Anolis sagrei: one gene and its partner. The protein of the gene in region 2 binds, or shares a complex with, the protein of the main gene of each other region. Links are inferred from orthologs where the notes say so. Each region holds a gene or a part of one and is shown on either strand. Other genes may lie near its edges.

Region 1 (7,924 bases), on a different chromosome or scaffold from region 2:
ATTCTGATGTGAGAACGTTGGCAAAAAAACAAATTGGGGAAGAGGGATCTCTAGAGGATTCACAACACCACCATTTGGTTTCTAAGAAGATCCCACATTGTTGACGTGACTCTAAGGGCAAGGGTTGGATGATAACCATTCCAGAACTTGGACATCTTGAGAGTTCCATTGAAGGGAGGAAGTTAAAGTTTTTCTACAGACCTTTCCATGGTTTCTAGCTTCATACTGTTTTTTGAGCGCATACTATGGGAGATCATGAATTGGGTGAGTACATCTTACCACTATAATGAATGGGTGTTCCACTGGAGGTAAGCAGCATTCCCAAGTAGGACTTCCAACTTTTCTCCTGGGCTTTTAACAACTTGATGAGAGGAATAGATGATTGCTACAAAAAAGAAAAGGTCAGTAGATGATATATCCATACCATATTACATGTTATAGAGTGAGCCAAGGCACCCTTTCTGGGCATTGTTGGTTCTCCCTTTGACCGTGAAGATGTGTGGTGCATCTACTTGCTCTAAAACATGCCAGAATTACCTACCTCCCCTGATATCACGTCTCCCCAAAAATGGTGCCAAAGGTGACATGTGTCCCAAATGTGGTCAAAGACAAAACAGCAAGGGGTTAGCTACAGGAGTTGTTTATGACCACAGACTTGACTCGTGGTGTCTGCTCTGACATCGAGCAACTCATTGTAGGCCCAGTGTTATGCCACTGGAGGGCGAGGTACATCTATATTACAAGTTTAAACCAAGTTTAACTCTCATGGTGAATGTAATTTTGTGGAGATCGTTGTTATGCACCTGCAAGTTGACTCCAGCTTATGGTGACTCTGTTCTAGGATTTATTCAAAGGGGTTTGCCAGTGCCTTCCTCTGAAGCTGAGAGAGTGTGTCTTGCCAAGATCACAAACCGACTGAGAGAGGATTCCAATGGTGGTCTCTCCTTCCAACAGTAATATTATTTTAAATGGAAACATCTGGGAAACATTTAGAATAGGTTGCAGCAGTTTGCTTTAGCCTGAGCCCCTTCTACACTGCCATACCATCCAATTCAAAGCAGGTAATCTTGATTTTATATGGTAACACAGAAGGTGCCTTTGTCTATTGGGAAAGATTCTGTCTTTTCCTTTCCCACTTCTCAGGCCCCTTCTACATTGCAATATAACTTCCAGATTATCTGATTTGATAATCTGGATTATATGGCAGTGTAGAAGGGGCCAGAGTTATCTGGCAGTGTACTCTCACATAATCCAGTTCAAATTAGATAATCTGGATTATATGGCAGTGTAGAAGGGGCCTCAGTTAACTGAACGCAAACTATTTTTGACCTTTGAGCTCTCTTTGCATCAATTGAAGTAAGATGAAGACAAAGAGGGAAGAGAAAATGGGACATTTCAGAAGCTACTGGAATGACTGTGGATTAATTGGGGCCCCTTCTACACTGCCATATAAAATCCAGATTATCTGCTTTGAACTGGATTATGTGGCAGTGTAGACTCATATAATCACATTCAAAGCAGATAATGTGGATTATCTGATCTGATAATCTGAATTATATGGTAGTATAGAATGGGCCTGGGATTGTTCCTTCCAAATCAGGATAGTTTCAGAATATGGAATTGCACAAGTATATATTTTTTAAAGTATTAAGAAAAAGAAATGTCAAAAGCAAGCATTTTATAAAATTTTACTGTATTCTGTACTTTCTGTACCTGTAGGCCAAACTACAAACATTGAAGTTAAATGGTTAATGGATTTGTTCATATTTATTTGTTTACACTATTTATATTCTGCCCTTCTTACCCCACAGGGGACTCAGGGCAGATTACAATGTACACATTCAATACCAAAGACACACAACAGATATAGACAGACAGTCAGAGGCGATTTAACTTTTTCTGGTCACCAGGGGAGCTGTCTCTTTCATCGTCCATCTGCGACACTGATGAAGTACTTCCGCATTCCCCGCATGCTTTTGCTGGAGTGCTTTGCTGGAGTGTTTTTTATGGCCTTGTACATTTTGTTAAATTTGCCTCCACACACATAGGTGGTACCTATTTTTTCTACTTGACAGATGCAACTGTCTTTCGGGTTGCAAAGGTCAACAACAAGCTACACAATTGGTCGGAAGCTCACTCCGACTCAGGCTGGCTTCGAACTCATGACCTTGTCATCAGAAGTGATCTTAATGCAGCTGACACTCAAACACTGTGCCACAGTCCCGGTGCAGTGTCTTATTTGCTTGCTTTCTTTTCTCTATCCACTGTTTGGGACAACAAGCTGCGTCAAATAGAAACATGACCTGAGTAGATTTAGACAGAAAAAAGATATGTAATTTATATATAAATATGAAAAGTTTGTTTCTCCACACCCATCATGCAAAAAAAAAAAAAAAATCCTTAGGGATCTTCTAGACAAGAAAGAAATACAGTAGAGTCTTCCTTACCTAACATAAACGGGCCAGCAGAACGTCGGATAAGCGAAAATGTTGGATAATAAGGAGGAATTAAGGAAAAGCCTATTAAATGTCAAATTACAGTCAGAAGTCAGATTCAAAAAAGTTATAGTAGGAAAGTATCCATTCTACACAACCAATCAGAATGAGAGCAGAAAGAGGGAACAAAATAAATACATTCCAAACTGTCATTCAGGAGACATGGTTGAAAGGGAAGTCCCTCATCCTATACTAAACTAAGTGTTCCTCGTTGAGGACTTGAGACTTGGGCAGTGTGAGGCTGAATTCCAACACTGAGAATATAACTGTGTAAGAAATGTGTTTTCGCCATACACAGCATTGAGCCATAGCAGTTAAAGTGGTGTCAAACTACATTCATTCTACAGTATAGAGATGCACCCTAAGCTTGACTTGCCAAAAAAAAAAAACAAAGTCAAACTACGAGGGTTGAATGAAAAGTAATGCTTCCATCTTCGTAAGTCCTCAACAGATGGCAGTACTGGTATGCAGCAGGTACTGGCTTGTTCAGTAGATGATCCTCTACAGTTCCATTTTGGCGGGAAGCTTTAGCATTGAGCGGTTGTGTTGTTAAAGTGCGAAGTATGGAACCCTGCGCAGACAGTCGGTCAATGCGACTTAAGCAACGTGCAGTCATTGAATTCTTGACAGCAGAAGGTGCTACCCCAAAGGAGATTCCATAGAGAATGCAAGCTGTTTATGGTGGTTGTGTTGATGTGAGTACTGTGCATCATTGGGCAAGTAAGTTCAAAGATGTTGAGGTGGGAACATCTGACTTGCGTGACAAAGAGTTGGACGTCCTGTGACAGCAACCACCGAGTTTCACAAGCAAAAGGTTGAGATTGATTCAGGACGATCGCCGTATCACTCAGAGAGAAATTTCAAGCATAATCGCCATTTCACTAGACCGTGTGGATCACATTATTGCTTTGCTTGGCTATCGGAAGATCTGTGCATGATGGGTACCGGGATGAGAGAAGTGTGAGATGCTGGTTGCGGAAACGAGTGTCGACTTCTTCCGTGACAGTGTCAGAAAACTTGTCCATCGTTGGCAGAAATGTATCCAATGGTCTGGTGATTCTGTGGAAAAGTGAATAGTGGTAGTTAAAGAGCACATTCTAAGGATTATTTATGCGTTTCATAGAATGATAGAATCAAAGAGTTGGAAGAGACCTCATGGGCCATCCAGTCCAACCCCTGCCAAGAAGCAGGAATATTGCATTCAAATCACCCCTGACAGATGGCCATCCAGCCTCTGTTTAAAAGCTTCCAAAGAAGGAGCCTCCACCACACTCCGGGGCAGAGAGTTCCACTGCTGAACGGCTCTCACAGTCAGGAAGTTCTTCCTCATGTTCAGATGGAATCTCCTCTCTTGTAGTTTGAAGCCATTGTTTCTTGTCCTAGTCTCCAGGGCAGCAGAAAACAAGCTTGCTCCCTCCTCCCTGTGGCTTCCTCTCACATATTTATACATGGCTATCATATCTCCTCTCAGCCTTCTCTTCTTCAGGCTAAACATGCCCAGCTCCTTAAGCCGCTCCTCATAGGAGCCAAGCAACGAAGGTGGAGGCATTACTTTTCATTCAACCCTCCTACATTATTTCCAAAACAATTGGAAAACTTATTTAAAAACTGTTGAAAGGATTAGATGATGGGAGAATAAAAGGAATGCTAGATGAAAGACAGAAAGATGATCCTTTCAACAGGTAGAGAAACAGATTCCTTTTGCACGAGTGCATGTTTACAGTAGGAAAACTACAAATCCCAGCAGGCATTGGGCAAGAAAGGCGAAAGACTACAGCTCCCAGAATGCTCAGGGAAGTTTTCTTTTGTGCCTGTTCATTGGAGGATGGGAGGAAGAGGTGGAGTTTGTTTGCACGTGTTTTGCAGGAAGAGAAGGGAAAGGGAAATCGGTTTGGAATCCGAATCCTGTTGATAAGAATCGTTTGCTCCGGATTTTGCAGCTATGTTCCTGCAATTCTACTTGGATGAGCGAGGGGACAGGGTTTATACCCTCAAGGTAAGGGTTTTACATCCCTGGGGGTGTGTGAATGTTTGATTCTGGGTGCATCTGCACTGTGGAATTAATGCAGTTTGATACCACTTTAACTGCTATGGCTCAATGCTAGGAGTTGGAGTTGTTAGACTTCTATGCCAAAGAGTGCTGTTGTCTCACTAAACTAAGACTCCCAAGCATGGGCAAACTTGGGCCCTCCAGGTGTTTTGGACTTCAACTCCCACAATTCCTAGCAGCCGATAGGCTGCTAGGAATTGTGGGAGTTGAAGTCCAAAACACCTGGAGGGCCCAAGTTTGCCTATGCCAGTTCTATATCATTATACCACAGTCAGCCCTCCATATCCACAAATTTTGCATCCAAGGATTCAGCCTTTCACAGCTTGAAAATATTGCAAAATATCCAGAAAACAAAGCTTATTATTTGCCATTTTGCATATGGTAATTTCCAGTATAATTTAACCTTGAGTCACACCAACACAGCTGTATAAAATCCATATTGAACTGGATTATATGGCAGCGTGGACTCTGATAACCCCGTTTAAAGCCAATATTGTGTATCATCTGCCTTGATATTCTGGGTTATATAGCTGTGTGGAAGGACACCTAGAGATTTTAATTAAATCAGTAAATTATCAAATCCACAAATGTGGAAGGACAACTTGGAGTAAATCTTAAAGGCAAACGAAATCCATAGCTATAGGGAAACCATCAGAATGCCTCATTGTTGGGACTGTCTTCTATGGCAAATTCTCTCATGGCTAAACATTCCTGACTGTGAGAGCCGTTCAGCAGTGGAACTCTCTGCCCCGGAGCATGTTGGAGGCTCCTTTTTTGGAAGCTTTTAAAGAGAGGCTGGATGGCCATCTGTCAGGGGTGATTTTAATGCAATATTCCTGCTTCTTGGCAGGGGGTTGGACTGGATGGCCCATGAGGTCTCTTCCAACTCTTTGATTCTATGATTCTGTGATTTACTTTACTTCTAGGATCCTCCAAGCCAATGAGTGGACAGGTTTAAACGAGTCCATTGAGTCTGTAGCAATGGCAGGCTTACACCAATTCAGCGCCGTAATTGAATAGTTCCGATGTTTCAAAGATCAGATAATTCCCAGGTTCATCTATAAAAACACAATGGCTTGCCTTGTGTAGTACGTCCTGGGTTCCAAGTTTGCATGAAGTCTGTAAATAAATAGTTCAGATGGTTCAGCTGTCAGTTAAGGTAAAAGTTTTCCCCTGACATTAAATCCAGTTGTGTCCAACTCTGAGGGTTGGTGCTCATCTCAATTTCTAAGCCGAAGAGCCGGCATTGTCCATAGACATAGGGGTGTGGAGATGAGCACCACACCCCAAGGTCATGTGGCCGGAATGACTGCATGGAGTGCTGTTACCTTCCCGCAGAAGTGGTACCTATTTATTTATTTATATTTATCGTGTCAGGAATGAACCAAAACAGTTGTATTGCATTAAAAACAAACAAACAAAACACAAAGTTTGCAAGCTTGGTAGTTGTTTAAATGTCCTTTGATCAGTAGCTGACCTCTGGTGTTGCTGGAGGAAGGTCCTCCATTGTGCATGTGGCAGGGCTCAGGTTGCATTGCAGTAGGTGGTCTGTGGTTTGCTCTTCTACACACTCGCATGTGGTGGAGTCCACTTTGTGGCCCCATTTCTTAAGGTTGGCTCTGCATCTCATGGTGCCAGAGCGCAGTCTGATCAGCACCTTCCAAGTCGCCCAGTTTTCTGTGTGCCCAGGGGGGAGTCTCTCATTTGGTACCAGACATTGATTGAGGCTCTGGGTTTGAGCCTGCCGCTTTTGGACTCTCGCTTGCTGAGGTGTTCCAGCAAGTGTTTCTGCAGATCTTAGAAAACTATTTCTTTATTTAAGTCATTGGCATGCTGGCTGATACCCAAACAGGGGGTGGACCGGAGATGTCACTGCCTTAGTCCTTTCACTATTGGTTGCTACTCCCCGACGGATGTCAGGTGGTGCAATACCGGCTACACAGTGTAATTTCTCCAGTGGTGTAAGGAGCAGACACCCCATGATAATGAGCATGTCTCATTAAGAGCCGCATCCAATGGTGAGATGTGTTCCACACTGGGCATGCATACTCAGCAACAGAATAGCAAAGCACAAGGGCAGATGTCTTCACTGTATCTAGTTGTGATACCCAGGTACCAATTGATCTACTCACATTTGCATGTTTTCAACTGCTAGATAGGCAGAAGCTAGGGCTAACAGCAGGAGCTCACCCTGCTCAAACCGGCGTCCTTTTAATCAGCAAGTTCAGCAGCTCAACGGTTTAACCCACTGTGCCAGCTGTCGGTTATGCACCAATAAAAACACAATAAAGTTACTATCACACTTTATTGCTGAAATAGAGGGAAATTGATGCACAGAGTACAATGATTATAACAAAGAGCTTTGCAATATACACAGTGCAATAAATATTTGTGGAGCTTCCAGCAGCCAGTCAAAACTATCATTCTGAAGGCATTTAATTTTTTCATATTATTTTCAACCAATATTTATTTATTTATATATTTATTTACAGTATTTCTATACCGCTTTTCTCACTCCTAAGGGGACTCAAAGCGGTTTACACATAACTGGCAAAACTTCAATGCCATACATTGGACACTGACGTGATGCCAGTCCATAACAACCACAATAATAGAACAACAATTAAGCATAAATCATAATTAGACAGTACATAAGCAATCGTTAAAACAATAAATAATAAAAACAGTCTCGCCAGTCGTATTGTCATTCTAGTCCATGTCCTATAAACTCTACACACATCTAATCTACAAACATTAAAGAATGTTTTCAGTTCTCTGCTGAGCAGAAAAATTATTGCTAAAAATTTCTAGCAAAATGAAATTGTTCATGTCCTATAAAATACAGCATATACTAGCGTTGTACTTGCTCACATAATGTGATTAAATCATTGTCGTTTCTGAAGGTAATTCATGCACAGTACTGTTTTAACTGTGTTTGTTAATGTATTAATCTTAAGCAGTCTTAACCATTGTATAATTCACAGAAATCAATAATACACTTTAGCATAGAATATAATGTAGAATTACTTTATATGAGTTCTCCCTTACAATTAGTTCTGCCCCCTTATCTCACCCGGGGCTTTTTAAATCATTTTATGTACATGCGGCCCGCCCTCTGTCATTTTGTTATTATGTTTACTTCCTATGTTCTGTGTATATTGTTTTATATGCTTTGATGTTTTATTTTAATGTTATATTGTTTATTTTATTGCAATTTGTATTGTTATTTTGTAATTCTTGTTCGGGCTTGGCCCCATGTAAGCCGCTCCGATTCCCCATCGAGGAGATGGTGGCGGGGTATAAATAAAGATTATTATTATTCTTATTCTTATTTGTTCATATTCTGGTTTCTGCCCCCCCCCCCCCTCTGGTGGCACAG
Region 2 (8,605 bases):
GAACAGAGCTGCAATGCTATCTGTCCTATATTGAGGTAAATGCCCGCTGAATTCTGTGGGATTTTTATTACTGGACAGAAATGTATGTATCTGCAGTTTTAGTCCCTTGGTATGAGCTCCTTGAGCACTGCATTGCAAACATAGGTCTTTTGTGCATGTCAGTAAGGGATCTCTCTGTGCATGTAGGACCACTTGCCCACCCCACTGGATGGGGGCTTAGGGGTGCCATCTTGTGCCCAATTATGCATGCTTAAGCCCATTGACGTGAATGAGACTTGAGCATGCTTTATGGTGATCCTTGTTGCCAAAAGAATTTTGCATTTAATACCACTGAATGCACATGCATGTTTTCCCCATTAATAACACCCCGAAATCCACTTATGGTTAGCATCAGGTGGCTTGTTGTGGGTTTTTAGGGTAGATTACTAATGGGTTGGAACTCAACTAAGTAGTTAAGTCCTAGTCCCATTCAAGGGAATGGAAGAAACTAATTAATTTGTCAGTGGAACCAAAGTGTGACAAATCTAATATGCAGTGTCATGTTCCTAGTATTTTTTTAAATGACAATGTTGGCACCCAAATACTTGATTTTTTTTCCTACTACCTTTATTCTATAAAGCAAGGCTTAAATTAATGTACTGAGTGGGTTTGGCCATGATCTATCCAGTGGAATACTTCTAGGTCCAAAAAAAAAAAAAAATCCTGGCAGAAATACTAATATCCCAGGTTTCTTTGTCTGGTTGGTGTATCAAAGTACAGAGGATCCATGCTTAGCGGAATAATTTGCAGCACAGTTATTATTTCCTTGTTTTGTTTTAAATCTTGAATGAAGAATGTAACATCTTATTGTCCTATCAAAGAAGAAAAGACCTGATTAGCTTCTTGTTGAGTCAGTGACCTTTGTTCCCTTCAGTCTGTGTACAAAATAAACGTTCATGCAGAGAGCCCAGGCTCTGATTATACTTCTGAAGATGTCTGTGGATTCAGTGTAAGGTTCCCATTTAATTTAGCAGTTGATTCAAGTTGAAGTTGAGAAATGATGCATTCTGATACATACATTTGATCCATTCTACAGTTATGAAGCTGCTGAGTTCTGGAAAATAGTCAAGAGAGATTCGCAAAAAAGTTTAGGTTATTTATTTTATTTATTTATCGTGTCATCAGCAACCATACCATTGTATTACAGTTCTAACAGAACAAAACAAACACACAGATTAAAAACAAAAACAAAACAAAAACACAGATTTTGCAAACTTGGTAGTTGGTTAAATGTCCTTTGACCAGTATCTGGCCACTTGGAGTGCCTCTGGTGTTGCCGCAAGAAGGTCCTCCATTGTGCATGTGGCAGGGCTCAGGGTGCATTGCAGCAGGTGGTCAGTGGTTTGTTCTTCTCCGCACTTGCATACCGTGGATTCCACCCTGTAGCCCCATTTCTTAAGATTGGCTCTGCTTCTCGTGGTGCCAGAGCGCAGTCTGTTCAGCGCCTTCCAAGTCGCCCAGTCTTCTGTGTGCCCAGGGGGGAGTCTCTCATCTGGTATCACCCATGGATTGAGGTGCTGGGTTTGGGCCTGCCACCTTTGGACTCTCGCTTGCTGGGGTGTTGCAGCGAGTGCCTCTGTAGATCTAAGAAAACTATGTCTTGATTTAAATTGTTGACGTGCTGGCTGATACCCAAACGGGATGAGCTGGAGATGTCTCTGCCTTGGTCCTTTCACTATTGGCTGCTACTTCCCGGCGGATGTCAGGTGGTGCAATACCTTCAGATTACGTGTCTTGACCCCACACTATGTGACCTTTTCCCAATTTCATTTCATCTATGAAGCAGATCTAGGCAAGTTGCGATTACTCTCCTACCCCAATAATTTTGGTTTATGTGTAGGGAATATTGATGATAATAATAATAATAATAATAATAATAATAATAACAATAATAACTTTATTTACATTCCACTCTTATCTCCCCAAAGGGACTCAGGGCAGATTCCAAACATAAAAGGCAAATGTTCAATGCCTGAATACAATACATCCATATTAACAAAATTTAAACAACCCAACATATAAACACGAATTATAACTTAACAACTAAAATTAAATAAAAGAAAAAAAACTGCCTGTTACGACAGACATAAGACAAAACATATAGCACGTGGAAAGATTACAAACCAGTGTGTTTACGATCCGAACCCCTTTCAAAGCCACGACTTATGCCGACTCCTTGAATTTCATAGGGTTTCTTCAGGTGGTTTTGCCACTTCCTTCCTCTGAAATAGTGCATTTGTTAACAGCCTCACATCCCTTCCTTAGCTTCTAAGATCAGATGGGATCTGGAGCAGCACTTCCCAAACTTTGGTCCTCCAAATATTTTGGACTTTGTGGTCCATAATTCCTGACAGCTGGCCAAGGTAGCTGGGACTTCTGGAAGTGGAAGTCCAAAATATCTAAAGGAGTAAGATTGGGAACCAACTGCTTTCAGGTATTTAGGTTCTTAGGGTCTCTATAATAAATGTATTCAATATGCGTATGTGTTTTTAACCATATAAAATCCAGATTATCAAATTTGAACTGGATTATTTGATTTGATAATCTGGATTATATGGCAGTGTAGGCCCTGCCTAGATTCTCCAACAAACTCTTTAACACTCCTCACTTTACTCCCTTTGCTTTCATCTTGTAATTCAATCTATTTTACCAAATGTATTTTAATTCAATCTAGTTTTCCTATGTTTTAATTTATTTTAGTTAACTGTTACAGGAGTTTTAGGATAGTGGTTAGTGTCTATTTTTGGTTTTTTTTTTTGTCTTTTATTGTTGGTTTGGTCAGTGGACTAATCAATAAACAGGGTTATCTGTCTATCATAGGGGCTCCTTGAGTGACTCTATGACCTTTTGCCCATTCATTCCTCTGAGACCCCTTCTACGCTGCCATATATTCCATGATCTGATCCCAGATGATCTGATTTAAACTGGATTATGAGTCTCTACTGCCAGATAATTTGGGATAAAATAATCTGGGATCACATCCTGGGATATAGGGGCAGTGTGGAAGGGACCCGAGGCTGGATCTACACTGCCATATAAATCCAGATTATCTGTTTTGAACTGGATTATATGCGTATATACTGCCATATAATCCAGTTCAAAAAGATGATCTGTATTTTATATAGCAGTATAGAAGGGGCCTCATATAATCCAGTTCAGAGCATTTAATCTGGATTATCTGTTTTTGATAACATGGATTATATGGCAATGTAAAAGGGCCCTAAGTATTTTTGTATTTTTAAGGACTCTGCTATTTGGGGGGAATTCCCAAATTTAGGACACTTCTACATTGCCATATAATCCAGATTATATAAAAAAAGTAATCCAGACTACATTCTTTGAACTGGATTATATGAGGCCTGCTGAAAGGGCCTCATATAATGAGGCCTGCTGAAAGGGCCTCTCTTTTCACATTCTCAGAAGTCCCCTTCAGGCTTGGAATGGCGGCATTCAACCCATGAGTTGAATCTCCCTGAAAACAGCTTTATTAGCTGCCAGCAAAAGCAAATGACAGCAATTGTGCTCAAAACAAAATCTGGCTACTAGTATTAAAAACTCTAAAATCATAACAGGTGGGAACCCCAGGTTTCAGCGGTGACCAGGGGAGCATTTGCACAGCTAAAGCTTGTGCGCCAGCTGCGCCCATACCTTGGGAAGTCTGACTTGGCCACGGTAGTCCATGCTCTGGTTACATCCCGTTTAGACTACTGCAACGCTCTCTACGTGGGGTTGCCTTTGAAGACAGCTCGGAAGCTCCAACTAGTCCAACGCTCGGCAGCCATGATTTTAACAGGAGCGGAGCGCAGGGAGCATACAACCCCCCTGTTGCGCCAACTCCACTGGCTACCAATCTGCTACCGGGCTGAATTCAAAGTGCTGGCGTTGGCCTTTAAAGCCCTAAACGGTTCCGGCCCTAGCTACCTATCTGACCGCATCTCTGCCTATGAACCCACGAGGAGTTTGAGATCTTCCGGGGAGGTGGGCTCTCCGGGGAGGTGGGCTCTTCCGGGGAGGGCTCTTCCGGGGAGGTGGGCTCTCGATCCCACCTGCTTCTCAAGCTCGGCTGGCGGGGACGAGAGATAGGGCCTTCTCGGTGGTGGCTCCTTGGCTGTGGAACGCCCTTCCTACGGACATTAGACTAGCACCATCTCTAATGGTATTCCGCAAAAAGGTGAAGACCTGGATGTTTGTGCAGGCGTTTGAGTAATTTAGTGCAATCTGGTAATGGAACATAGGAATGGAACAATGGACGACGAACCTGGACTACGCTTGGATGATGAGAAGATTGGGTACGGTTGTTTTTTGTAATAATTGTGCATTGTAATTGCTTATTGGTAATTTATGGATAATGTGTTAAGTCAATTGTTATATGTTGTATGGAACCACTGCTGTTTCTACTGTTTTTACTGTTTGTGAACCGCCGTGAGTCGCCTTCGGGCTTGAGATACAGCAGTATATAAGCAAAGTAAATAAATAATAATAATAATAATAACAGTAAATGGAGAACAACTTTCAAAAACAGGAGAACTCCAGACAAGAAACCATCAGGGACAGCTAATCACCTTTCAACAAAGGATTCCCCCAGGCAGTAAGAAGCTACACCTTGAAAACTCCTGGGCTAATCAATGCTAATCAAGGTGACCAATTGAAACATTCACACCAAATTTCCAAAATGAAGAAAACCAGAGACATTGGAATGGTGGGCAGAATGTGTATCCCATATATCTGTCACTTTCACTCATACCTGACACTGAGATTGCTGGTAAATAAAAGAAAAGAAATCGCTCTGAAGTAGGAGCAGAAAGGATGCTGCCCCTTTAAGGATTGCTGGACTGCGCCCCTCGGCATCCCTCACCCTTGCATATGCGGGCGTCGTACTTCAATGACTCCTGCCTGAAGAAAACAGAGGGCGCCGCGTTTCCCGCGCTTTTTCCAAGCCCGAGAGGGGGCGGGGCTTAGAGGGGGCGGGGCTTGGCCAGGCCATGGGGCGCCCGCGGGTGTGCAGGCTGCTGCGGGGCTGCTTCGAGGAGGTGCTGCCCTTGGAGGCCTTCGTGAGGCGCCTCCAGGAGAAGGAGGCCGAAGCCTCGGGGGCCCCGCTGGTCCAGGAGGGGGATCCCAAGTGCTTCCGAGTGCTGGTGGAGCGCTGCCTGGTGGGCAGGCCCCGCGGGGGGAAGGCGCCCCCGCCTCGCTTGAGCTTCCAGCAGGTAAACAGCCCTCTCCAGGCCCGCCCCTTGCCGTGGGCGCTTCTCCTCAGCACTGCCTGGGGAGACACACAGGGACCTCTCCCGCAAAAATACTCCATAGTATGCACACTGAGGCGCTTATAACTTGCCCTGGAAGGCTGCTGGCTCCTTCAGGGGAGCACAAGCTGCCCCCAAACATTTTAATACAAGCGCGTTTTCTGAGTTGTATGGGCAGTGGGGACATCCAGCTGCCAACCCTGGATGGCGAGGCACTACGTCCATCATCATTGGTAAAGAGTCTGGGAGTCCTTTTGGACCCTCTGCTGACGATGGAGGCCCAGGTATCCACCGTTAGCAGAACTGCCTTCTTTCACCTACGGCAGGCTAGACGGCTGGCCCCTTACCTGTCCAGCGACGACCTAGCTACGGTGATCCAGGCCACGGTCATCTCAAGACTGGACTACTGTAACGCCCTCTACATTGGCCTTCCTCTGTCGGTGATCCGGAAGCTCAAGTTGGTACAAAATGCAGCTGCTCAGCTTCTTGCGGGAACTCCGATGAGATGCCACATAACACCAAACTCACAACAGCTGCATTGGTTACCAATTGAGCACCGGATCACTTTCAAAGTGATGGTACTCACCTTTAAGGCCTTGCATGGTTTGGGGCCGATGTACCTCACCCCCTACCAACCCCAGAGATCCCTCTGTTCTGAGGACCAAGATCTATTGGAAGTCCCCAGTGTCAAGACCTTGTGTCTAACAGCAACCAGAAGCAGAGCCTTCACAGCAGTGGCACCATCGCTCTGGAATACTCTGCCACCCGAAGTCCGTGCCTTGTGGGACTTATCAGTTTTCCACAGGGCATGCAAGACATACCTATTTCGACAGGCCTTTGATTTTTGATATTGCCGTTTTTAAATTGTTTTAAACTGCTTTTAAATTTTGTTAGATTTTAACTATTCTTGTAAACTGCTCCGAGGCCCAGGGGAGTGGCGGCATATAAGTTTAAATAATAAATAAATAAGCATTCTCTCCTGACATTTCGCCCAGGTATCCTCAGAGGTTGTGAGGTCTGTTGGAAACTAGGCAAGTGGGGTTTATTACAGACTAGCTTGGGGACCCTGCGTGTCCTGGGTTATTTGAGAAAGTAATTGTGTATCAAGCTTGGTCTTTATCAGTTATTTATATACAGTGGTTTCAGGAAGTTAGTGAAGGTACTGCGAGTCCCATCATCTGTGGTCCATCCTCCTCCAAACTACACCAGGATGGAGGCTCTGTGAGCCAAGTTTGGTCTTCATCAGTCACAGGATGAGGGTCGCAGTGGTTTCAGTGAGTAAAGGTACTGCAAGGCCCATCATCCATGGTCCATTCCCCCTTAGAACTGCATCAGGATGTAGAGTGGGTCATGAGTACTCTGTGTGCCAAGTTTGGGCCTGGTTTGTGATTTGTAGAAAAGACTTAAAAAGCCACAAAATAAAAATTACAATGCATGTGCAAAACATGCAAACACACATATACACAAATGTTTTAAAAAAAGGTTGTCCCCTGACATTAAGTCCAGTCATGTCTGACTCTGGGGTGTAGTGCTCATCTCCATTTCTAAGCCAAAGAACCAGCGTTGTCCATAGACACCTCCAAGGTCATGTGGCCAGCATGACCGCATGGAGCACCGTTATCTTCCCGCTGGAGCGGTACCTATTGATCTACTCACATTTGCATGTTTTCGAACTGCTAGGTTGGCAGAAGCTAGGGCTGACAGTGGAAGCTCACACCGCTCCCTGGAATCGAACCTGCGATTTTTTGGTCAACAAGCTCAGCAGCTCAGTGTTTTAACCCATTGCACCACCGGGGACATACACACAAAATACATATACACAGACTGGACCACAGTAACGCGTGGTAGGGGACGGCTAGTAACATAATAAAATTCAACAGAAAGGGCAGGTCAAATGCACGAGATAAGATGTTAAAAAGTTGAAACCCTGGGTGAGATAGGAATAAAAGTATATTTATGAGGGAGGAGTCAGGGGGGCAGTGGGGTTTGGCTTTATTAAGGACAGGTTGACAGTGCATCATGAGGACAATTGTAGATGGAAACAAACAAAATGGGTTGAACGGTCACTCTCCAAGGGCACATAGGAATAGCCAAGTTTTTAGATCTTTCTTAAAGAAGCTACTCTGTTGGAGGCTTTTAAACAGGCTGGATGGCCATCTGTCAGGGGTACTTTGATTGTACATTTCCTGCATAGCAGGAGGTTGGACTAGATGTCCCTTTGGAGAGATGGAGGTGGGGTACAAAAATAAAGTTGTTATTATTTGTGGTCTACTGGACTGCAGATCCCATCAGTCCCAACCAGCCTAGGCAAAAGCAAGGGAGGATGGGAGCTGCAGCCCGACATCATGTTGTGGGCCACACTTGCAATACATAATTTAGGACCTGTGCCCCAAAATTTTAATGCCAATCCCGCGAAATCCTAAATGACAATGAATGAAATATAGTCATAACGTTTTTGTTCACTTCCAGATTTCTAGTCAGCAAGATGTCGTTGCAAGAGTCGTTCAGCGAATCTGTGAAAAGAACAAAAGGAATGTCTTGGCCTTTGGCTATTCTCTATTGGATGAAAACCATCTCCCGTTGCCCGGCATGCCAAATGTCTACAGCTACTTTACCAATTATACCACAGAAACCATTTTTCAGAGTATTCTCTGGGAGTTGATTCTGAACAGAGTTGGGGATGATGTCTTCATGTATATATTGGAGCACTGCTCTCTCTTTATGTTAGTGCCACCTAGTTGTTGTTACCAAATCTGTGGGCAGCCCATTTATGAAATTGCATTCAAGGATGCATCTCCCTCTCCTGAATTCCTCAGGCAGAGGTATCCTGGGCCAAAACACAGCGCCTTGACTGGTTACCTGCAAAGAAGGAGGTTTTCATCTTATAAGCAATGCCCAGCAAGAGGAAACTGGAAGGAGTTGCATCCTAGAAGAAAATTAGGAAGGAAAGCAATATATGTTTTGGAGGGCAGTTATCCACAATCTTCAGTGGTTCAAACAGTCAAGCAGAATTTTACAGCGAGTGCCAGCGAATGCCCAGAAAGCAGGCAAAAGGCCAGTGAGCGTACATCTTCAACACGATCTCTGAAAAGAAAATGGAAAGGCCGTTGTGAACTGAGCACAAAAAGAATAAAAATCATGCAAATAGAGGACAGGCTACAGAAAGAAATGGGAAACCCAGTTCCCACTCAAAGCAAACATCCATTGAGCCTAGATGGTGATGGTGTCACATCTCAAAGCTCCACAAGCTCCTGCTTGGCGGATGGGCTAACTCCTGTGCCACACAGTAATGAATATGGAGAACAGACCTCTGCTGTACCAGATGC

Evidence for each region.
Region 1: TERT (region 2) and NOP10 share a complex: the UniProt entries of both Homo sapiens proteins name them as parts of the telomerase holoenzyme complex. The link is inferred for Anolis sagrei from reciprocal best matches to the Homo sapiens genes TERT and NOP10.

What each region holds. Positions count from the first base shown.
Region 1 is NC_090026.1:13,100,649-13,108,572, reverse strand, and holds the start of NOP10 (H/ACA ribonucleoprotein complex subunit 3), read left to right. Parts: upstream 1-4,332; 5' UTR 4,333-4,437; coding exon 4,438-4,491; intron 4,492-7,924. UniProt on the Homo sapiens protein: Required for ribosome biogenesis and telomere maintenance. Part of the H/ACA small nucleolar ribonucleoprotein (H/ACA snoRNP) complex, which catalyzes pseudouridylation of rRNA.
Region 2 is NC_090024.1:105,809,663-105,818,267, reverse strand, and holds the start of TERT (telomerase reverse transcriptase), read left to right. Parts: upstream 1-5,020; 5' UTR 5,021-5,021; coding exon 5,022-5,243; intron 5,244-7,748; coding exon 7,749-8,605. UniProt on the Homo sapiens protein: Telomerase is a ribonucleoprotein enzyme essential for the replication of chromosome termini in most eukaryotes. Active in progenitor and cancer cells. Inactive, or very low activity, in normal somatic cells.